Arabidopsis thaliana: one gene and its partners. The protein of the gene in region 3 interacts with the protein of the main gene of each other region in a pairwise test. Each region holds a gene or a part of one and is shown on either strand. Other genes may lie near its edges.

The links.
Region 1: the proteins of PRR3 (region 3) and AT2G37000 interact in a two-hybrid assay, tested with the Arabidopsis thaliana proteins (one study listed by BioGRID).
Region 2: the proteins of PRR3 (region 3) and BBX19 interact in binary tests that used the Arabidopsis thaliana proteins (3 or more experiments, as listed by UniProt).
Region 4: the proteins of PRR3 (region 3) and TCP2 interact in a two-hybrid assay, tested with the Arabidopsis thaliana proteins (one study listed by BioGRID).

What each region holds. Positions count from the first base shown.
Region 1 is NC_003071.7:15,538,678-15,543,214, forward strand, and holds AT2G37000 (TCP family transcription factor), read left to right. Parts: upstream 1-1,568; 5' UTR 1,569-1,712; coding exon 1,713-2,279; 3' UTR 2,280-2,571; downstream 2,572-4,537. Other genes in the region: SIGF (RNApolymerase sigma-subunit F), read right to left, coding at 1-11, 92-347, 442-627, 720-817, 924-1,078, 1,252-1,339; NAP12 (non-intrinsic ABC protein 12), read left to right, coding at 3,043-3,272, 3,352-3,428, 3,506-3,781, 3,888-3,951, 4,032-4,178, 4,285-4,319, 4,410-4,483.
Region 2 is NC_003075.7:18,158,640-18,164,494, reverse strand, and holds BBX19 (B-box type zinc finger family protein), read right to left. Parts: upstream 3,408-5,855; 5' UTR 2,920-3,407; coding exon 2,827-2,919; intron 2,621-2,826; coding exon 2,525-2,620; intron 2,440-2,524; coding exon 2,407-2,439; exon of another isoform or gene 2,327-2,406; intron 2,202-2,326; coding exon 2,105-2,201; intron 1,989-2,104; coding exon 1,873-1,988; intron 1,773-1,872; coding exon 1,611-1,772; coding exon of another isoform or gene 1,534-1,610; coding exon 1,450-1,533; 3' UTR 1,174-1,449; downstream 1-1,173. Other genes in the region: FBA2 (fructose-bisphosphate aldolase 2), read left to right, coding at 18-156, 234-364, 503-781.
Region 3 is NC_003076.8:24,196,811-24,204,138, reverse strand, and holds PRR3 (pseudo-response regulator 3), read left to right. Parts: upstream 1-2,774; 5' UTR 2,775-3,010; exon of another isoform or gene 3,011-3,476; 5' UTR 3,477-3,636; coding exon 3,637-3,904; intron 3,905-3,992; coding exon 3,993-4,154; intron 4,155-4,250; coding exon 4,251-4,639; intron 4,640-4,730; coding exon 4,731-4,878; intron 4,879-5,000; coding exon 5,001-5,280; intron 5,281-5,360; coding exon 5,361-5,391; coding exon of another isoform or gene 5,392-5,424; exon of another isoform or gene 5,425-5,470; coding exon 5,471-5,656; intron 5,657-5,725; coding exon 5,726-5,793; intron 5,794-5,887; coding exon 5,888-5,924; 3' UTR 5,925-6,141; downstream 6,142-7,328. Other genes in the region: PUM18 (pumilio 18), read right to left, coding at 1,202-2,185; AT5G60090 (Protein kinase superfamily protein), read left to right, coding at 6,414-6,579, 6,767-6,936, 7,019-7,208, 7,285-7,328. UniProt on the Arabidopsis thaliana protein: Controls photoperiodic flowering response. Component of the circadian clock. Controls the degradation of APRR1/TOC1 by the SCF(ZTL) complex. Expression of several members of the ARR-like family is controlled by circadian rhythm.
Region 4 is NC_003075.7:10,161,946-10,168,076, forward strand, and holds TCP2 (TEOSINTE BRANCHED 1, cycloidea and PCF transcription factor 2), read right to left. Parts: upstream 3,639-6,131; 5' UTR 3,498-3,638; intron 2,733-3,497; 5' UTR 2,365-2,732; coding exon 1,267-2,364; 3' UTR 977-1,266; downstream 1-976. UniProt on the Arabidopsis thaliana protein: Plays a pivotal role in the control of morphogenesis of shoot organs by negatively regulating the expression of boundary-specific genes such as CUC genes, probably through the induction of miRNA (e.g. miR164). Participates in ovule development.

The DNA of each region.
Region 1 (4,537 bases), on a different chromosome or scaffold from region 3:
TTTAATAAATGCTGATAGATCAAAGATTATGGAAGTTAGCACCAGGGACAAGAAGGAAGTCCAAGGACACATGAATAAGGAAAGCATGAACCTGTATATGTGATATCAGCTCAGCTTCTTCTTTAGCAGTCAGAAGTTGTTTTGTCTCAGGTCCCCACAAGAAGAGCTGAAGCGCATCATCATTATCAGCCCCTTGTTTATACTTTTTCTTCGCACTAGTTTTCTGAGGAACATAACCCTCATCGTCCACATCGTTTGATTTTGGAGCCCGTCTGTTCTTTGCTCGTCTCTCTAGCTGCCGCTTCGATCTTACTATGTTTCCCTTTTCCGGTAAGGACATAGAAGAGCTAAAACCAAACATCCAGAAATACAAATCTTTTCACATTACAGCCCACAAGTAGCAGATTGATAAGATACACAAACAAGGTTAAAAAAAGCAACCTAGTGGAGAGAGAATCCTTGATGTTGTCAGATGGATTTGCTTCAGTGTCATCAACTAACAATGCAGCTTGTTTTGAAGCTGATAAAGCCTTCTGAGCTAGTGCAACCACATCACAAAGCTCTGCATCAGCTAAAGGAGACACAACTGCCGGCAATTTCGTTTCAGATGTTAAAGGAGATATTAATCTGCAAACAAAAGAAAGGCTACATCATTCAGAAAACTCAAAAGGTTGTATGAAAACTGAAACTGGTGGGTTTAAGAGAGGAAGAGACATTACAAATTCCATAAACCAGTAGAGTGAAGAAGTTGCTGTTCAAATTTCTCATCTTCTCGAGATGAAACCAATTCATCAAACTGCCTCCTCTCCAGAGTCAACTAAAAATGCAAGGAACCCAATCGCATTAAACAAGAGGACTAGAAAGTTGACAACTTTATGATTGATTCAATCTCTTAGGACAATATTGCTGCTAATAAAACACACCTGGGATGTTCTATCGTCTCTTAACGCATGTGACAGAGGCCTAGACTCTTCCCGTGGCTCCTGTGAGAGAACCGACGCAGGAAAATGTCGAGATAGAGAATTGAGATGACGTGAGTTAACAACAGGAGTTGTTGTTTGATCATGAAGCATCACTACTACAGAAATACCAACAAACGAACAAAAACAAATCAGAAAATGCTAACACAAACTCGTATACATACACTAATTTCAAATTGAAATCCATGAACTTCAAATTCCAGTAACTAACAGAGACAAATCCAGCAAAGACACAATATTTCTATATGAAGAGTAGCTGAATAAGAAGTACCAGAGGAAGGAGAAGAGTAGCTGCTCTTGAGATGAGTCTTTGTCTGAAACGAAGGAGATGAAGAAACCAAGTTCCTCGTAGCTTCCATTTCACAGAATCACCAAAGAATAAAAGACTCTGTTTTTGCTTCCACGAATGGCTAAGGAAGAAGAAGAATAAGAACATGAGGCTACTCTACAGAGCCATGACGAACAGATAAGGCGACACACACACTCCCAATTTTTTTTTTGTAAAAATTAAAACTTGTTTGTTGCCATGGAAGTCAGATTTTGTTCTCTCTCCCTTTTTTTTTTTCCTACAGAGTGGATCATGTTGGGCCTTATATTGGGCTTAAAAGCCCAAATTATCCAAAAGTTAATTCGAATCATCTTCTTCTCCCTCCTTTAGTAACCCTAAGATTCTCTCTGTGAATCCTTGTTCATCGTCACTGAAATTAGTTTACAAAATCGACGAATTCGGAGATGATTTTTCAGAATGTGTGCAGAAATGAGTCCAACTTCAACGCTATAGCTTCCGAATCGCGTTCCCAAACGCAGTTCGGTGTTTCGAAATCCTCCTCGAGCGGCGGCGGATGTATCTCCGCCAGGACTAAAGACCGTCACACGAAGGTTAACGGACGAAGCCGTCGAGTTACGATGCCGGCTCTCGCCGCCGCTAGGATTTTCCAGTTAACGCGTGAGCTCGGTCACAAAACTGAAGGAGAAACCATCGAATGGCTTCTTAGTCAAGCTGAACCGTCGATTATTGCCGCCACTGGCTACGGGACTAAGCTCATTTCGAATTGGGTTGATGTTGCGGCGGACGATTCCTCGTCGTCGTCGTCGATGACGTCGCCGCAAACGCAAACGCAAACGCCACAATCGCCGAGTTGTAGGTTGGATCTTTGTCAGCCAATCGGAATTCAGTATCCGGTGAATGGTTACAGTCATATGCCGTTCACAGCGATGCTTTTAGAGCCGATGACCACGACGGCGGAATCTGAGGTTGAGATCGCGGAGGAGGAGGAACGTAGACGCCGTCACCATTAGTAAAATTAGGCTTTTGATTTAGAGTGTTAAAATTAGGATTTTAAAAGTTTAGGAGGTAACAGATAAGGATAATTTAGTCAAATCATGTTGTTTAGTTTGGTAATGTTATTTTGCCACTAAACAACTAATAATATTGTTTGATAATCTTATTATTTGGTTTTGGAAACAAATTGATTAAAAAATAATGCCATATGTTTATAATGTTTATATTGTTTTTCTCACTATTGATTTGTGATTTTTTAGTAATGCTTGAAATCATTAAGCAACACTATTTAAATAAACAAAAATTTCTCATGAAATCCAAAGAATCATCATTTGTCATGCTCCTCCAATATAGTTATTTCTATTTTTGGAAATAAGTTATAATTAAGAAACCAATCATTTTTCTCACCCATTTTTTTTTTCATTTGCTAGAAATCTGGACCTCCTTCCATGATGACCCTTCTCAACTCTCTTCTTTCACGCAAGTCTCTCATTTTTCAACTTTCCAACTTTTGATCTCAACGTCAACATTTCAAGATTTTCTAAAAGAGAACAAAAAAAATCTACAACAAGCTCGTTAGCTTTCTTTTAATCCTTCATCTCCATTTTTCAAGAATATACTCATTGGTTTTCTCAAGACATGATAGAAAAACACAAGACATCTCTACGGATATTTCTATTGGTAGCTTCCAATGTATCTATTCTATTGTTAGGTCAGAGGGTTCAGATATTTCGATTCGGAAGGTTCTGATTTTAAGGCAAGACTTTTGATATAAGAACAATGAGAGTTAGGGTTGATGTTTGTTGGACACAACACATCTTCTTGTTCTTTGTTTTTGGCTTGAGTTTTATGTCATTTGCACTATCTCTGGATGGAGATGATTACAGCAAAACAGGGAACCCAAAAGCTCTTGTTTCGGTTACAAACCTTATCTATACTCGACTTCAGAATCTAAAGACTGTTTTAAAGGCTGACGTTGATCGAGATTTAGGTTATTGCATCAAGAATTTGTAAGTCTTTTCAAAATCAGCTAATGTAGTCCCATGTTTGAATTTTACATTTTTCTCATATCGTTTGTTGATAATTCAGGAAGGGCGATTGGAATGAAGCATTTAATTTTGATAAAAATCTGGACTTCTTAAGCAATTGTGTCAAGAAAAATGATGGTAAACAACATAAAAAGGGTTATGTTTTTATATTCAAATACTTGAACATTGAGATTTAATGGTCTTGTGATATGCAGGTGACCTCACACTTAGACTATGTTCAGCTGCGGAGATAAAGTTCTACTTTAGTAGTTTTGTTAGAAGAGATGAAGCAACAACGGTTCATGTAAAGCCTAACATCAACTGCAATTTAGCTAAATGGGTTTCCGGATGTGAGCCTGGATGGAGTTGCAATGCAGATGATGAAAAAAGATTTGATCTCAACAATGGAAAAATTCTTCCATCTAGAACTCGTAAATGTCAACCTTGTTGTGAGGGTTTCTTTTGTCCACAAGGTCTTGCTTGCATGATACGTAAGATATCCATTTACATACATATATGTTATATCAACATTATAAGTACTAAAACTTTAATCTAACATATTCATTGTTGTTTATTCTCTGATTTATGTAAACGAAGCGTGTCCGTTAGGCGCATATTGCCCGCTTGCCAAGCTTAATAAAACAACAGGATTTTGTGAGCCGTAAGTTGTTAGCTTTCTAGATTGAGTAAGTTAATGAAAAATCTTATTAGTGGATGATTTAAAGAGTTTTTACATTGCAGATATAACTACCAAATTCCTCCGGGAAAGTTGAATCATACATGTGGTTCTGCAGATAGTTGGGTTGATGCTGAGAGTAGTGGTGATATGTTTTGTTCACCAGGTTCATATTGCCCAACAACGATTCGAAAAGTCACTTGTAGTAGTGGGTATTGATTCTTTTATCTCACAACTCTTGTTACTTTTTGAAAATTTGTTTCATATATGAAATATTCATCATTAAGGATGTAATTAATGTTTTTATGTATTACTTAGACATTACTGCAGACAAGGTTCTACGTCACAGAAACGTAAGTTTCTAAAACACTAAAACCTAAGAAAATGAATTGTTTTATAATATCATTATCATTCATTAATTCTCTTTTTGGTGACCGTTTTAGCATGTTTTAAGCTCGCAACATGCAATCCGAATACCGCAAACCAAAATATTCATGCCTATGGAGCGATCTTAATTGTAAGTTGTTAGTTAATTAGAATACATTTTGCTTTAAAATTTGTTGGAAATTAT
Region 2 (5,855 bases), on a different chromosome or scaffold from region 3:
ACGACTTTATTTTCCAGGACAGCGGTTTGGTTCCGATTGTTGAGCCAGAGATCTTGTTGGATGGAGAACACGACATTGACAGAACATACGACGTAGCAGAGAAGGTTTGGGCTGAGGTTTTCTTTTACCTTGCTCAGAACAATGTCATGTTTGAAGGTATATTCGTTATAAAGTGCTTCTCTTAATACAACTTATAATGTCTGAAAAATCACTAAGGAAACTTTTACCCACAGGTATCCTCCTAAAACCGAGCATGGTGACTCCCGGAGCTGAGTCTAAAGACAGAGCTACTCCTGAACAAGTTGCCGCCTACACCCTCAAGCTCCTCCGCAACAGAGTCCCTCCCGCAGTCCCCGGAATCATGGCAAGTTTCTCTCATTCTCTTCACAATTAAAAGATTGTTCGATTCAATACAACGAAAAGGTGTTTTATGAGGCAAAGCCTAATATTGGTTGCTTGAGGTAGAAGTAACATTGTTTCTTGTTTTTTTTGTTATTTGCAGTTTTTGTCCGGAGGACAGTCGGAGGTGGAGGCAACACTCAACTTGAACGCAATGAACCAGGCACCAAACCCATGGCACGTGTCCTTCTCCTACGCACGTGCGTTGCAGAACACTTGTCTGAAAACATGGGGCGGCAGACCCGAGAACGTGAACGCAGCTCAGACCACTCTCTTGGCCCGTGCCAAGGCCAATTCGTTGGCTCAGCTCGGAAAATACACCGGTGAGGGTGAGTCCGAAGAGGCTAAGGAGGGCATGTTCGTCAAAGGGTACACCTATTGAAGAGATGATGCTGTGAAAAAAGAGATGAAGCAGATGTTTTAATCACATTTGTTTTTGAGTTTGCTTGTTATTAATCATGTCAAATCATTATTTTCTCTGCTTACTTTGCGTTAGCTACTCCTTTTAATAAGTTCTATTATATTGAAGTTATCTATCTCTCTTGATCTATTTAAACTTGAAACTACAACTATTCCATAATCAACCAATTTTAAATTTTGAACAAAGAGGATACAGGAGGAAATGGTCTCCACGAAGCTTACAATTCTCAAAGGACAACGCTTAGCCTCATGGGGCCTTTGCATATTAAGTGGGCTTAATCTTTTAATTGGCCCAATTTTTCGTCTTCTTTCTTTTTCGTCCATTTCCCAGAGGATTTTATTAAGAAAAAAAAACAGAAACAAATAAAATTATTTAGAATTTCAGAGATTAGCTTACATTCATGTGAGCACTTAAGCTAATTCCTTAAAACTAAGATAATGCACAAACAACATAAACCTTCCCTCTTCAACAACAAAGCTCGGTTACACCAGCAACGATCTAAGAATCAGAAGGAAGGAAAAAAAACGGACATGAAATCTCCAGTTCTTGAAACTTTTTACAATCTTCTTCTTAAACTGATTTTTTGAATCAGAGTAAAGAGTCTCTTTCTCTCTCTCTCTCTCACCTTATCACTTCTCAGACTCTCGTTTAAAGGGTCCAACTGGTACAAGGCCTGCAGGCTCGTGATTGTTCTCGTTATTTACATCAATCCCCTGCTCATTGAGAAACATTCGAATTGAGAATACAAAAACAAAGATTGAGAATATGTTGGATAGAGGGATTCATATACGTTGTTATTTGATGATGGCTCATGTACTCTTTGTGGATTAGCATTTAGATCAATCATTTCGTCATCAATCTTCCCATTGGCTTCACCATTTCCATTTGTAGAGACTCTTTGGTTCTGCAAATTGTCCCTCGTATTGTTTTCTTTAGGCTTATCCCCTGGAAACTACAAGAAACGATAAACACAAGATGACTATTAAAACTAAGAAATCGACTCAAAATGATTGTGTGTCTGCGTGAGAAAGAAACAATTAGTTAATTCAAACCTCGATTCTCTGTCTCAGCAAAAGAAACCGACCGTGTGTTCTCTTGCCACCAACATGTACTACCATGTCACATTGCAGACAAAGAGAACTACCGTCTATCTCACAGTAAAAGAAGGCTGTTCTCACAACAAAAAACATTGCAGACAAAAGATTTCTCTTCATTTTTCAATATATGTACATATGCGAAAACATTAAACACGAGTGTGGGAAGTTCATTGTAAAGAGATCATACCAGGTGCATTTTCGCATATATCACAGCATGGGGCATTGCTTGGTTCAGCTAAACCAACACGTACATGCCGACTAGCTAGCTTGTTGCACATATGAACCTGAAAGAAGAAAACATTACAAAGCTTTGAAGTAATCCATTTCCGATCAAAATCCGAAAACTACTAAGAGCTATTGCAGTAGAGAAGGATGAACCAATGACTCGAGAAGGACTATAAAGTGTTACCCTTAAGAGTCATCTAACTGAAGTAAGGATTAAGCGCAAAGAGCAGAAAATCGATTATTTTCTTCTCCAGAAGTTAATACTACTAAATGCAAACTCTGGAGACAAAACGTTCCCTGCAATGTACATGACAGAGTAGAATCATTGAAACCGCAGCAACAAACACTCATGTAATCAAACATGTAAATTCATCAACTGAACCATCTTAATCCACCAAATGAGAGAAGAGGTTTCAACTATTTGAACTCTTTTGACGGATTCACTACACTTCGAAATATCTAATCTCATGTGAAGAGCCTAAGAATCTAGAAACCAAATCTCAAAAATCTTATTTCTTTAGCTCAAAGTTATCGAAAAGCCAGATCAACTCAGGTCCAAATCAACTGAGAATTCCCAGACAGAGATAACAAAGACTTGATCTTTGACGAACCCATCAGAGCACAACCAATAGATAGAGAGGAGAGTTAAAGAAAAAAAGGAAGCTTTTTTGGGAGAGAAGTTACTTTTTCATCGCAGGGGCGACAAAGGGCAGCTTCATCGGCGGCGCAAAAGATGATTGCGGCTGCGTTCTCGCAAGCATCGCACAAAATCCGCATCTTGCTTTTTCAATCTTATAAGTCTTTTTCTCACTCTATTCGGAACAATGAATCTCACCTTCAAGACAAAATCTTTAGCCAGAACTCAGATTGCGATTGAAAGAGATGAGAAGTGGAAATAATAAGTAGAAACCTCTGATTAATTAAGGAGGAAGTAGATTAAGGGTTAGGATTACGCGTTGGTATCAAGGAACTAGAAGAAGAAGAAGAAAGGGAAGAAATTATTTAAGATTATAAAAATCGCTCCTTTAAAATCTTTTTCTACGATGGAGGAGAAGCTTGAGAGACCAGAAGAGACGACGACCAAATCCACGCGCCGAGAGTATCAAATAAGCATACTTTGCTGTGACAAGGCAAAATCTGTTAATTACTACTTTGAGTAAATTTCTCCAATCAATTACTTTTTTTCTTTAATTGTGTGTTTTGACTAACGAAAATTATGATTAAAGTAGTACCTAACAAGAAATGTGTGTAGTATGATTTAGGAGAAAATATTGGGAAGACCAAATCTTTTATAGTGGATATGGTTTTGAGTTATAAGATTGTTTAAAGTCCATTATATCAGAGACCATTATCAGACAAAAAGAAAAATGATATCGACTAAAAAGTGAAGACGAAAGACTCAATGCCATCTGGGAGGTCATTGATGTGTCTCCCTGAAACACATTCGTTGTCTTGTTTCCTTTGTTTTGGTGAAAAAGTTTTTTTTGTCACAATCTTTATATGATTTCTTGGATCCTATATCTGATTTTTTTTCTTCCTTTTTTTGACGGCAGCTGAAATAGTTTTAGGCAACATAATGTGCTAAGATTTAGGACGTGTGACTATTTTTAAAAGTAAAAATATAAACTAAAATAAATAAAAAAGGGGGAAAAAATAAGAGCCACAAAAGGAATTAAAAAAAAAGACAAAGAGGTGGGTGGGCCAAATGTCACCAGCCATTTAAAAAATTGGTGGTCGAGAAGTAGTTGAAAGCAACTCTCAAAACTCTACTAGTGGCCTTGGTTTAATGTTGTTTTTATTTCCTTGCCCATCTTCTCAATTTCATTTAACTAACATCTTCACAATTATCTTAGTTTTTTTTTCTTTTCATCCCAAAGTTTATTCTTTCTCTCCTCCATAAACATTCTTTTGTAGCTTGTTTTATGACACTTTGGCATTTGTAAAATTTGAAAGAAAAGTTTTGACGCACCCTATTCATAAACACGAGAATCAATATTTGCATAATTACAATGTTCTCTTCTGTTGAAAATATAGATTATGGTTTTTATAAAAAACAGAGCATCCAAAGAAGAGAGTTTGCCTGCCATGTGCATCATTGCTAAATGTTGGGCTTTACTTGTAATGTTGGGCTAGATATCCATTATATTTGTTATCAAAATATCATTATGACCTTCTGGGCCGGGAGAAAAGGTCTCTCACTAATGGGCTACGATGAAGTGGAGTGTGAGGTCCACGTGGCGGGTTTAAGGTTCCTAATTAAGTTTCAGGGGTAAACCGGTCATTAACTACCCAAGCCGAGAGAGAGAGAGTCTGAGAAACCGGCGAATAGAAGAAAAGAGAGAATCTTTGGGACCAAATCAATGGAGTGGTCCCTTCAGACAAAAGTTAAGAAGAAGAAGACGACGACGACTACGACGAAGAACAAACAACTACCAAACTTGTAGGCAGTAGCAGGAGGAAGTGGGTGGGATTAACATTGTCATTTCTCTCTCTTTTTCTTTTACAAATCTTTCCGTTTTGTTTTCTTTTGGTTTTCCGGTGAGCACTGTTGTGTTTCCAATTCCGGCACTCTTTAGGGTTCCCTTTCAGAAGAAAACTTCACATTGTTGTTTCTCTCAACCGTGACATCTTGGATTACTACTTCTGACTACTTTCCTTTTTCATGTGCCCCAAAAGATAATAGTTACTTTTTCAAAATCTGGTTTTGTTGTTTGGGTTTGTGTCATTCATTGATAAAGTCACTAATGGAGAAGTACAAAACAATTGCAAAATTTCGAATCTGTGTTGTCATTGCTGAATTCTGTAGTGGATGTTTGCTTGCAGTTTAGAGCTTCGGAGTGCGAAGAGTGAGACACAAGAGGATTCTTTCTGGAACCGCATTATTCCCTTTAGAGGAGGAAGAAGAAGACAACTCACTCACAAGGTAAAAACAGCTCCTTTGCATGTTTCTTTATCTTGCTTGTTAGAGATGTAGACAAGACACGCACTTTATAGACGCAAAATCTTAGTATTCTGGTTCAAGATTGAGATGCATTTTGTGATAATGATTAAATGTTCTGTTGGTGCAATTGATAAGGTTTCATTGAGTTTTGACTAAGTAAACTCCAAGTTACTTTTTTTAACCTTTAAACACGCATTTGTGACTGACCTTGTCTCCCTCTCCATTGATGAATTCAAAAACTACAAAGCTATTATTTTTATGTTTGATTTTGCGTGTACATATATTATAATCCAAGTTACTTTTCAAAGTTTAGAGTATGATAACTTATTTTTTTGTTCTCTACACTAGATGTATATGCATTTTATAAGGAGAAGCATGGTCTGTGGGACCATGCATTACCTCTCTTATTCGATTAAACAATGTTTAGATTTGGTAAAACGTGACTTAGTCCTCAAGCATAGTGGGTGACCATTACAGATAAAGTCGGTAATCTTTGTTTTGTTTTTCTTCTTCTTCTTCTTCTTCAGTTGTGGTTGATCACCTTCTAAGTAAACTGTCTTGTATAATCCTAATATTATAATGACAAGAAGTCTTCTCTTATTTGTGTCTTTGTGGTTCATATAAAATGTTCAAGTGTTCTCTTTCATCACAACACAGAAGCTTTTCCTTCTCCAGGCATGTTTCATGTTTTAGTCTCTTAGTTTTAGTTTGGTGAGATCAGATTTCTGAGTTTTTCCATTTATTTATGGTTGTGATTAGTTGGAAAATAAGG
Region 3 (7,328 bases):
AGACATCTCCTTCGAGAACCTCAGTGCCTTGCCTACCACGATATTCCCAAACTCAATCTTTGCCAGCCTCATCAACCTATCTCCGTCGCACTCCAAAAGCTCCACAACCACCACTACCGTTGACTCCTCCGCATACAGAAGTTACTACATACTTCTAAAACGAGAGCTCAATGCAATGACCATAAAGATTAACTGCGATGATCCCTAGATAAAATGGATTTGATCTTGTCACTTGCTAATGAGAGCATTAATGTCAAATTATAAAGATTTTAACTAATGCGAGTTTTAATTTTTTTTTTACATTAATTGACTTGTATTCATAGAACATTTGTAGCAAAAACTTGGAAAACAGAGGTTTCTCTCTATTGTTATACTTGTAGGGCTTCAAATTGGAAAAAGAAAAAAACACTGCTAAAACGCCATCGTTTTCGAAAATTAGTCATTAGAGGCCCACGGGAACACGATATATGGGCCTAAGTTTCGGTCAATTCTATATAAGAAAATGACAATACTGTCCTAAATAATAGAGGCACAGAGACAGAGAAAAGCTTTTAACTTACTGGTTTTACAACTGTGAGCTGATTTCTGATGTGCCACTCTATTAAAAGCTTTTAACTTATTGAATTCATTAGTTTGTTTGGTTATTTTTCGTTAATGTGAAAAAGTTTCTGCTAGAACCATTAGCAGGAAGATCCGTTTGTGATATCTAGAGATTTCTGATGGCTATGAGACATTTGTATCTATCTTGATAAGATTGTTATCTGAGTATAAGCTGTATGCTCTTCGTGATTTTCCTGCTAATGGTTCTAGCAGAAACTTTGGGCTTGTGACAAGGCAGCCATACAATGGAATGGAAGGGAAGCTGCTTCCTTAACTGAGCAAGGTGCGATTTTATCTTTAGTGCACCAAATATGATTTACTTTTCTTTCATAAGGTGTTGATGAAGTTTGCAATGTGTATTCGTTTACAGCTCTCGATTTAGGTTTGTTTTGTTTTCAGAAATAAGAACACAAGAAGAAATGTATTAGCCAATTTCGTTTTTCAAATTGTGTAAACTCTTCTTCATAAGAACTCCAACTTTACAAAACAAAATAGTAGTTTATGACGAAACACTTTTCTTACCAGAGTTATGTAACTACATTGAACACCGGAACAATTAAACTATTGTAAGCTGGTTTGAAAAATAAACACAGAGTTATAATCAGCAACGAAGCCTAAATGAGTCCAAGATGTTTGCAATGTTGCTTCCGTGAGATCTACGCAAGAGACGGATAAAAGGCATGAGCTTCTGCACCAAACCCCAAAACAGATCCATCCTAGACATCTTGGTGAATCTCAGAGCCTTGACCACCACGAAATTCCCAAACTCATTCCTCGCCAGCCTCATCAACCTGTCTCCATCGCAACCCAAAAGCTCCACAACCACCACAACCATTGACTCCTCCACCTCCAAAAGCTTCTCCACGATGTAGCTTCCATACTTCTTAAACGATAGCTCAATGCACTGACCATAAAGATTAACGGCGATGTTGTGAATGCAACGCGAGTCATACAGTGTAAGCACATGTTGGACCACAAAGTTCCCTGAAGCATCGTTGCTTAGCCGGAGAGCGTTGGATGCGACCAATTCTAGTAGCTGATCTCTGTAGTAAGGATCGTCAGCGTCGGTTATGATATCATTGAGCGCGATGCAGCCGTGCTGGTCACACGCTAGGTCGAGAGCGTGGTAGAGAATGCGCTCGTACAATGCCTTTTTCATCACCTTGTCGAAAACGACCATGGCTCGTATCGTCACGTAGGATGCGTATTTGTCGGTCGTGATGTGGAGGAAGCGGCGCAAGATAGCGGCACAGAAGAAGGCGTCCACGTCATCTGATTTGCCGAGGAGCTTCTGCACGCGTCTCGAGCCGAACTTGGTTGTGACGATCGACATGAAGTAATCGGAGTCAGACGTAAGCAACGAGGCCATCCTCTGAAGCTCTGTTTTGTCTGAATTTGAGATCATCTCTTTAAAGTAAGACACACCATCGCCGTCAGTCATTAGGTTGAACAGAGCTGCGTGCAAGGGCGTGGCGGAGGCGCGTGGGGCGAATCCAGGAGGAGGAATGGAACCGGAGATTCCTTTAGGGTTTGGTAAAGCATTGAACATGGTCGACATTGAAAAGGGATTATCAGCGACTGCCATTGATAAATCTCTTGATGATCTACAGAAATTTCTCTAGAAAAGGGTTTAATCAGTTTGTGTGATTTGGGAGAAGTATGAGAGACTTGTGAATGAGAGATCTGTGGTGATGCGTAGAGTATTTATAGAAAAGTTAGGGCTTTTGTTTTTCTAGTTACAATTACACAACTCGGATTACTACTAGGAAAAGGAAAAGGAAACTTATTTGGTGGAGTTTCCTTTTTGTTTTGTCAATTTTCCTTTTTTCTTTGCATTTTCGTAACTGTCATGATTTTAATCTATCTTTTTTTGGTGTGTGAAGATAATAATAATCTATCTGAAACAAATGGAAATATGTAATTTGTTTTGTTGTAAATCGACAATAATTTAACATGTCGATAATCTCTAAAGTCTAAACCAACCCCTCGCAGTCCAAGCTTTTGATTTTGTCCACGTCACTAATCTCAGCATGCGTAAATTTATCTGGTCCTACTTGACACGTAGGTTAGTTCTGCCACGTCATCAAACTCCAAAATAATATCTTCTCTGACCTTTTTGTTCTACCACCTCCCAAAAAATCCCAGTCTTCTCTTCCTCTGATTCTCTATCAAGTTTTTTAAATTTTCTTTCTTTTTATTCTATTTTAGTAGCAATTTGGTTCTGTAAAGTTGTTGGTAAAAGAAAAATAGATACGAATCAAAACATTTTTGAATGATTAGGTGATTAAATGCTAAGCAAATCAGATTAAGCAAAAATCTGTTCTTTTTTGGTTGTAATTTGGTTTTTCAAGTCAGATATGGTGAGAGATTCTGGTGGTGGTGGTGTTCATCAATGGATTATGTGAAAAAGGTTTGCTTTTGTTTGTCTTGTCGCTTTTACAATCTGCTGCTGTTTGAATTTTGTGCTTATTTCATTAAGTATTATAGCTTAGAGCCTTAGAGTTTGATTTTGTATCTGGTTCTGTAGAGTTTATAAGAAATTTGAGAAAGTAGGAGATCTTTACAATCATCTAATGAATAAAAGAAACTGTGTTCAAAGTTTGTTAACTACTTACCAAGTACTGTGATAATTTTCCATTGGAACATTGATAGCTTTTGATTTTAGAAACAACAAGTTTCAGATTGTTTTCTAAAGCTGAGTGTGTGCTACTATTGAAATTTGATTTGGCTTGTTTAGTTTTTCTTTGGACAAGTTTGATGATTTATCCAAATTCAGTTTTTTATTTTTTGGTTCTGGTGTGAGACTGTGATCTTCTTACGGAATGTTGCTTTTTTTTTTGTTTCTCGTTTCTTATTGGGCTGAGGTTTTGGTGAAGGGATTAGAATAAGTTTGGGGAAAGAAGAAATGTGCAAGTGTTATGTCAGTGTAGAGGGGAAGTTTCTGCAGAATCTTAGCTGTTACTTGATGCTGCTTCTATTCTATCTTGTTCATGGAGGCTGGTCTTGACACTTTCATGAGATATTAGTATTCTAAAAATGTGTTTTAATAACATTGAAACTGGTGATGAAGTGGAAACCGAGAGGCAAGTGTTTGGTTCATCTGAAGAAGATGAATTTCGAGTTGAAGATACTGCTAGAAATACCAACAATGTACAGATTTCTCAACAACAGCAGCAACCGCTAGCTCATGTTGTGAAGTGGGAGAGGTATCTCCCAGTTAGATCGCTTAAGGTTCTTCTGGTGGAGAATGATGACTCAACACGCCATATTGTTACTGCCCTTTTAAAGAATTGCAGCTATGAAGGTTTTCTTATATTGAATTGATCATCCTTGTTTAGCAATCACATTTTTGCTTTTGACTAACAGTTGTAAATTTGGAAACTTTTTGTCAGTTACTGCTGTTCCGGATGTCCTTGAAGCCTGGAGAATTCTAGAAGATGAGAAAAGTTGCATTGATCTTGTCTTAACAGAGGTTGACATGCCTGTGCATTCAGGAACCGGTCTGCTGTCCAAGATTATGAGCCATAAGACACTTAAGAACATCCCCGTCATAAGTATTTACTCAAATCCTTGATTAAATTTTTGTTTATCCAGCTTCAATATGCCATGCTCAGTTTGTGTAACTCAAGATGTGATGTTTCTTTTTGTAGTGATGTCATCACATGATTCTATGGTTCTGGTCTTTAAGTGTTTGTCGAATGGTGCTGTTGATTTTCTCGTGAAACCCATTAGAAAGAACGAACTAAAGAATCTTTGGCAACATGTCTGGAGAAGATGTCACAGCGTAAGAGTTCTGATTTGGTTACCTGTTTTACAAAAGTTACTCTGTGTTTTTTTCTTACTTATGCGTTTATTGATTTACCAGTCTAGCGGAAGCGGAAGTGAGAGTGGAATACATGACAAGAAGTCGGTGAAACCTGAAAGCACCCAAGGGTCAGAAAATGATGCCAGCATCAGTGATGAACACAGGAATGAAAGTGGGAGTAGTGGTGGTTTGAGTAACCAAGATGGTGGGAGTGATAACGGGAGTGGAACTCAGGTAATCTGTTCTATGGCTATAGATAATAACAATGTCTGAATAAATCGGTTTATAAATTTTTGATTGGTTTTGCATTTATAAAAATATGTAGAGTTCTTGGACAAAAAGAGCCAGTGATACTAAGAGCACCTCGCCTTCAAATCAATTTCCCGATGCACCCAACAAGAAAGGAACCTATGAAAATGGATGTGCACATGTTAATAGACTGAAGGAGGCTGAAGATCAGAAGGAACAAATAGGTAAGAACGCAAATTAATTAGTCAATTAAAATGTGAGTACACTGATCTTGTGGAACAATTCCTTGAGATTCTCTCTGATTTACTTTAATTCAAAACAATGACTTTAGATGATATTGTATTAGGCACGGGATCACAGACAGGAATGTCTATGAGTAAGAAAGCTGAAGAACCAGGAGATCTTGAAAAGAATGCAAAGTATTCTGTTCAAGCTTTGGAGAGAAACAATGATGACACGCTGAATCGCTCTTCTGGTAACTCACAAGTAGAAAGCAAAGCACCTTCATCTAACCGAGAAGATTTGCAATCACTCGAGCAAACTCTGAAAAAAACAAGAGAGGATAGAGATTACAAAGTCGGTGATCGAAGTGTGTTGAGGCATTCAAATCTCTCTGCATTCTCAAAGTAAGTTCTTGACATTAACTGCAAATGAAATGTCGAACCTGTGACTGATTTGGAGTTATTGGTTCTCTTGTGATATGCAGATACAATAATGGTGCTACTTCTGCTAAGAAGGTAACTTTTCATGATGCTTGGCGCTGTCTTTGAAATTTATGCCGGTTTCATCAAAAACTTTGAACTTTTGCTGAGTTAGGCTCCAGAAGAAAATGTGGAAAGTTGTTCTCCTCATGACAGTCCTATTGCAAAACTGTTGGGTTCGAGTTCAAGCAGTGACAATCCTTTAAAGCAGCAGTCTAGTGGAAGTGACCGATGGGCACAAAGAGAAGCTGCTTTGATGAAGTTTCGCCTTAAACGTAAAGAGCGATGTTTTGAGAAAAAGGTAAGCTCTAAACAAGCTTAAGCTCTTGTTTCCTGAGACGAAACTAACGTTTTTTTTGGTATCCTTTAGGTTAGGTACCATAGCAGGAAGAAACTAGCTGAGCAACGGCCTCACGTCAAAGGTCAATTCATTCGCAAGTAAGTTCAAATCCTTTCCAAGATTTCTCCCTCTAGATGTTTCGAAAAGTATCCTGATATAGTAATGTACTCACATGGAGTCCTTTGCCTTTAGGAGGGATGATCATAAATCAGGAAGTGAAGACAATTGAACAACAAAATTGGTATAGAAGAGAGATCCACCTCCAATATCTGAAGAACAGAAGAAAATTTCACAAAGTGGCATTTTTTTTTTTCCATTTCCAAAAACAGATAGTAGTCTTGTTTAAATAACGTCATTACTATTCTACAAACATAATAATGTCGCTATAGTACTTCTTCTCTGAAAACAATAACTCATTAACATTTCAATAAATAATGTTACTCATTAATTAGTGTGTGTGTTTTATGAATATAATTTGAGTATTTAATTCTCTAATTTTTTTAAGAATTATTAGAGCGCATAATCTCCCGTCTATATAAATATCCTCCGGCGAATTCTTTTAGTTCTCATCATCCAAACCTCTCTCATTCTCTTTCTCGCTCTAGTTTTCTCGTTGAGAGTCTCTTACTCTGTTTAATTACTTGTTTCCGGGAAAAAGATTCTCGGGAAAACAAAAGAAAAAAATCTCAAGAAAGATTCATCTTCGTTGATCGCTACGATGAAACGTTTCTTATGCTGTCTCAAAGGAGGAAGCTCAAGTAACGCAGCGCAAGGTAACGACGAGAACGACGAAGTAGATGTCGAGCGCCTATTTGGGAATAACGAGCGCCTCAATCATCTTTGGAGAAATCATCTCCGACTCCCTGACGATCGTGAAGTTGCAGGTTCCGTTTTCGTTTCTCTTCTTCAATCTCTTGAAATCGAGATTTCTTGTTTTCTGGGTTTCTTGTATCTTACGCAACTCTGTATTTTAAGAGTTTCTTTCTTACTTCTTCGTTTTGGTCTCGTCACATTCTTGCAAGTGAAAGTAGTATCTTGTTCAATCTTTAACCTTTGGTAATTCATTTGCAGATCCGACTGCTGCTCTGTTACCAGTATCTCCACCTCTACCTGATAATTGTGGAGAATCATTTCTATGGCGTGAGCTCGTAAACGGAACCATAAACTTCCGGGACGAATTTTATCTCGGCAAAGGCAACTTCGGCGAAGTCCATCGCTGCTATTTCTCAAGACTTAATGTGGTATATAGACCCAAAGGTCATGTCCTTTATGCTTAATAATCGAAACCCAGTTTCTAAAGTCTGAAACTTTTGATTTCATTAGGATGGAGCGGTAAAGGTTCAAAATCCACAGAATCCAACTGGTCATGTTGAGTTCTTGGCAGAGGTTACAACGTTACGTGCAACTAATCATCCAAATGTGATTAGACTTCTTGGCAACTGTTACGGCCAAAGGAACCGTGCTATAATTTACGAATTCATGGCCAACGGAGATCTTGAGCGTCACATCTTTGGTAAAGAAAACTCAATCAAACCCTAATTGATGACTCTGTTTTAGCTTCTAAACCTAATTGATTCTGTTTTTTGTAGCACACAAAACGATGGTGGAGGGTCCGCGACCTAAGGGTCTAACA
Region 4 (6,131 bases), on a different chromosome or scaffold from region 3:
AAAATATAAACTATATAAAATCAATAATATATTGCAATTGTTGAAAACAGTATCAATAAACATTTGCCAATTGCGATGTTACATAATTATATTCAAAAATTATATTTATTAAAAACCTACAAAATTATGTGTTTTCATAATAAAATGGTTATCTCCAAACACTTTTGTGTTATTTAAAATATTTTGTAATGTCTATTGTTTCTAATGTTTTAGGCCAATATAATATTGGGACTCCCAATCAAAGGTTTTTTAAGATATTATTATCTTTCTCACTTTTGGAAATTACTTGAAAGTACCTAAGCCTCAAACACACATGAATCACAAGTAAAACAACTTTACTCTAAATCCCAAAACCACACAAAAGTTGAAAGTTTTCTAATAAACAACTAAAAGAATGAATTTAATAATACTTTGTCTAGTACCCTAAAAGATGGGTTAGCCATGTGGGTGCAGAAGATCAAGTAGCCCATGAAAGAAAAAGTTAAAAAAACTTATAATAATATAAACAGATCATAAGAAATAAAATCATGAAAATTTGGGAATAGCCATTGTTGAAGACAACAGCTGTCAAATGAAGAAGATATATTCATAAGATAGATAGATTATAAAAACAATACATATGGAGAGAGATGATGCTAAGGAAGAAGGGAACCAAACATAGAGCACAACAGGAGACAATTCATTTTGATTTTCACTCTCTTCAATGCATAATGGCCTTACCCTCAATTTTTCAGTTTTGTCTATCAAAATTATTTATTTCCCTGATTATTATGTATATTTTCTTTCTTTCTATTTTTATTTACAAGTTTTTTTTTGTCTCTTCACTTAATTTCTGTATTTTTTATTTTTTTGGGAAAATTCTTAATTTCTGTATTTAATTCTTCTGAGTATTTGATTTGATTCAATCTAGTACCTTAAAAGGATCGCCCTATTGCCTTGACCTACCATTTGTTCATGAATACCAAGAAACAGTATCTTCGTACTATAAACAATTTACTAAAGAAAAAAAAAATGCTAACTATACCAATTACATGGCAAAAATAACATTCAAAAATTCAATTATAAACTCACAAACAAAATGCTATTATCACAAATACAACATTACAAGCACAATGCAAAAAGATTTCCAAAGACCCTCAATACATAAAACAAAACCCTAACACACATCAGACAACGAAAGAGATTAACATTTGTTTTGAAATAAACCAAAGATAAACATACAAAATGAGCATTTGAACAAAACCAAAGATGCAATAATTAATATCATCAGTTCTTGCCTTTACCCTTATGTTCTGATGAGTTTCTGCATCCATTTTCATAGTAAAGCTGAAACTGGTGATTGTGGTGGTGATTCTCTGCAGGCAGTGCACCGAATAAGAACTGTGGACCTCCTCCACTTTCTGATGTTGGAAACCTCTGTAGATTAGCGAGGAATGACTGATGCTGATTTGTTGAATTGGACTGAAGGGTCCCCCTGTTGAAACCACTGAAGCCACCACCTGATGCGGCGGAGACGGCAGCTCCGGCGCCGGAGGGTGTTGACATATTAAAATCAAGATTGAATGCTCCGCCGTTGGATTCTGCCGGTGATATCAAATGGTCGGGAACGAATGAAAACTCTTGATGCTGATGATGAGGATGATGATGATGATGATCGGAGATTGATGAGAAAGGATGAGAATTTGTTGAAATAGGGAAATGGGTTTGTTGACCCGACCCGAGAATTAAACCCGAACTGAAATACTCCATTGGAGATGAAGAAGGAGCTGAAGCCATCCATTGCCGGTTTGAGTTAACCGGATCTGAACCGGAATTTAACAAATCCGTAAACGAAGTGTGGTTATGATCTCTTTCCTTGGTCTCTTTAGCTGTTCTCTCTCTAGCCCTCTCTCTAGCTTTATCTCTAAGCTCCGATCTTGATAAAGACAAACCAGAAGAGTTCTTGCTCGTGTCTGAATTGCTACTACAAGCAGATTTAGACAAGGAATTAGCAGCAACTGTTGTTAATGTCTGATTCTGGTGATTCTCGTCATCGGTCGGAAAATGAGTGTTGTTGAGTGAAGGAAGCTCAGAGATTGAATCTTCAGCAGCTTTGATTAACCATTCAACAGCTTTGCTAGGTTGATCATAACCTAACCGATCTTGAAGATCATAGAATTGAAGAGCGGTGGAGACTGATAACCGGACACGACGGTCACGTGGTCCTTTAGAAGTCAAGACTTTGCTGTGTCGATCTTTACCACCGGAAGCTCGTGAAACCCTAATTATCCGGGAAGAATTGTGATGCCACCGGCTTAACCGGTTGTTCACTTCGTTATCCACAACGTCGCCATTGTTGTTATTCTTCATTAGATCTCCAATCATTTCATCATCACCAATAATCTCATCACTAAAGAAAAAAAATTAGGGTTTTGTTTTTTTTTGGTTACCCCCAAAATTAAAAATCAAAACTTTAGGGTTGGTTTGGGATTTAAAGAAGGAGAAAAAAATGGGTTTTTGTTTTTGTTTTGTTTACCCACTGTACTTTGTAAGCATTGATGATGAATACCCTCAGAGGAAAAACCAAAAGAAGAAAAAAAATGTGTTTTTTTTTAAAATTAATTTAGGGTTTTTGATATTTCACCATCAAAGTCAGTAGATACAGCTTCGTATAAGCTTTGTCTGCAGCTGCTGTTGTTTGTTGCAGAGAGTCATCAAAAGCACTGTGTCTGAAATGATTTTTAACCACAAGCCTGCAATAACAAAAACAAAGAAACAATCTCATAAGAACAAATCTTTACACATATATATATACATAAATGCTTATATATATATATATATATGTTACATCCTTATCGACTTTTTCTACAGATGACTTTCATTCATATATACACATAATTAAGATATCAGTTATTCTGATTCGAATTTATGCTCTACTCATTGTAGATCTGACATATCACAACAATTGATAAAACGGGTTTAAAGTTAATGATCGTGATTAAAGAAGAAGGAGCTAGAAGAAGAATCAGAAGCTATGATAAATAATTAAGCTGAATCAACTGCTTTCGGCTGAAGCGATTATCAATGGAGGGCTTTAAAGAGTAAGAAGACAAAAAATGCAGAAATCGAGTTTTAAGCTTTTCTTCTCTATATAAAGATTTTGGTGTTTCTAATTATGAAAGAAAAAGAGTTGTTTCATAGTAACCAACAAGAAGATTAAATCAATTTAAAAATTCTTAAAAAGGAATCATTATTGATGTGTTCTGGATTCTATGCAGATCACAGGTGTCAAGCTCTTGGCTTTGAGATTATATGAAACCAAAATTTTAAAGCAAATTAAAGGAACAAATACACTTCTTTCTACAGTGAAATTCTCATCAAGAAATAAAAATCTTAGATCTAGAATTGTTTTTTTGGAATCAGAATTAAGTATAAACACGAAATTCAGATTCTTTCTATGAAAAAGATTGGTTTTTGTTTGTTTCTCGGAAAATTCGATGAGATAAATTGAGACTTACAGAAGAAACAGAGGAGCTTGAGCTTGGAGTTAGTAGTAGTAGGTGACGAAGAAAGAGGGCTATAGGGTTTTAGGGATTTGTATATAAGAAATAAAAATCCGAGAAAATTGGAATTTCTTTGATGGTGATTTTAAAGGAGTGATCATCAGATGGGGAGAGAGATATTGGGCATAAACTTTGATTTTATTTCCATTTTTGCCCTTCATTACATTACTTATTCACGGAATTGCCACGGTCCTCTACAAAATATCTGTATTAAATTATCATCCTCAGTAATTTGATTTCAGGTGAGAAAAATTATTTGATATTTTCGTTTGTTTTTGGCAATAAAAACACAAGAAAATATTTAAAGAAGTTTTTTTTGGCAGCTATTATATCAAGAAGTTGTGAACATAAATGCTATAGAAATGTTAGAAACAAATCAATGCGTGAATATGAGAAATCATATTATCTCATGTCACATGTATATTTATGTAGGAGAGGAGAACAAACAAAAAAACAATTCACTTTGTCCAAGTGTCCTTAGGATTTTAGTTTGTTCATAGAAATAGAATTCGATTAATACTCAATAATCTACTCTATGATATGTTTCGATCATAAAAAATGCTACATGTTTTATGTTTTCAAAATAGGTTTGGTCTATCATTCTTTACATGTAAAGCTCATGGTTTTCCACCAATTCCTTCGGAACATAGATTTAGATAGATAAAAGATTCATACCGCAATATAAACATATCTCTCATTCTCAAGCTAGTTTTCCAAGTTTTTATCTACTTGCTTTAAAAAAGGAACTCTCGCGGTCTCGCCTACACTCTTAGTCTTTTTGTTCTCCGACATGATTAATATTGTATATTCAGAACATTTTGCAGAGTAAACTCGACCCTCTCTCTTGAGCATAAAGCTCGAATCCTTCCTCTGTTTTTTTATTATCTATTTGGTTTGAGGTCTTTTAATTTTAGATATGTGAGTAAATTATTTATATTTTGTTTATGTGTTTAAAGTTTGCTTATGTTAATGAAATTTTTTTATAAAAAAATGCTACATGGAAATATATATACTGTCCGTATCATAACAATGTTAATTGTTATTTACCAAAAAAATATCTTTATTACGATAAAAACTTATACTATGAATCTTAGAAATTAGAAAAATTGTAACTATTATGTGTGAATTTCAAAAATTAATCAAATGAAAAATATGTCGTCAACGACCTTTTTAACTAAATTATCGTATAGGTCTTAGTCAGCCATTGCTCGGGTTCAAATTTGAAAAGTTTGGGATTTTATATAGAACAAAAAAAATAAAAATTTTATATGAGAAAATGTCTAAATTTAGCAGTTTTTATGATATTTTTCTATTTTTAACCATAACATGTACTAGCCTAATAAAAATATAAAAACAAATTTTATTTTGGAGACAATGCAAAACAATTATCAAAGTAAGCACATAATCCAAGCAAATATCTAAAAATTAAACAAACTATTTTAAAGTAGAAATAACTAAATTTCCGGGATAATGATATTTAAGGAAGAATGAAAACTATTTTAAAACCTATACATTTCTTTTCCACCTAACAAATCATATTGATAAAGAAATCCAAACCCCTATTTTAATAACTTACACTATGTCAATCCCACATCACATCACTAGAACTTCATGGAAAAAACACGCACAATTTAATTCAAGAATTAGTACAAATCGTTTGCAATTTTAATAATCTAGTAGTATTTTTTTAGTCAAGTGGTATTACACCATACTCTATTAACTTTAATAAGTACAGATTAGTTATTAGTTAATGTGGTTTGTGGAATTCAATAACTGCGATTAAGAACAAATGACGAAAAAGGGAAAGAAGTAGAGCAAGTGGTTCACGACGGTCTCGAGAGCACGTGTCGCTGTCTTAACGGACACTTGCTCACTTCTCGATCACTGTTGCCTTTACCAGACCACTGCACGTGTCTGCTTCTTGGTCACCCAAATTTCTGCTTACTTATTTTCTCATGCTTATTTTTTTTTTAATTTTCTGCTTCTGCTCATCCAAGTCCTCTAAATGATTATTTTTTATTTTTTTGACAATCAGTCCTCTAAATGAATTTCAATCACTAAAATAGACAACAACGAAAAAAAACCACAACAAAAAACTAAAATTAAGAACCCTGATTCTTATATATATGTTGCTTGTTAATATCAACCTTATTAATTATAATTGGCCTTGGAGATTTCTATATTTTGTAGTTATACATTTCTTCTTTTCTCATCATAGTATTCATGTTACTTGTTTAGTTAGGAAAATAGTAGTTATGTTTATGTTCCTGAATAGTAGTCAATACTGAATATCAAGATTCAGAATACCCATGTATATGTTTGCTCGTAATGTAAGATTTGTAAATAACCAATCGTCAAATAACCAAATTATATACGGTCAGTAAAGTTTATATCTCTTTCAATAGTATCAGTCTATCACGTAGGCATATTATGAGTTTAAGTATTATGCGTTTAATGTGTTACATTCAAAAATTTAATTAGAGTATCCGTATTTTAAATATTTTAAAACCAAACTATCAAAAATAATTAGAAAATAAAAACAATGTATGGATCTGAATCTTTACTAGATTCGTATTGTAGTGCGTACTG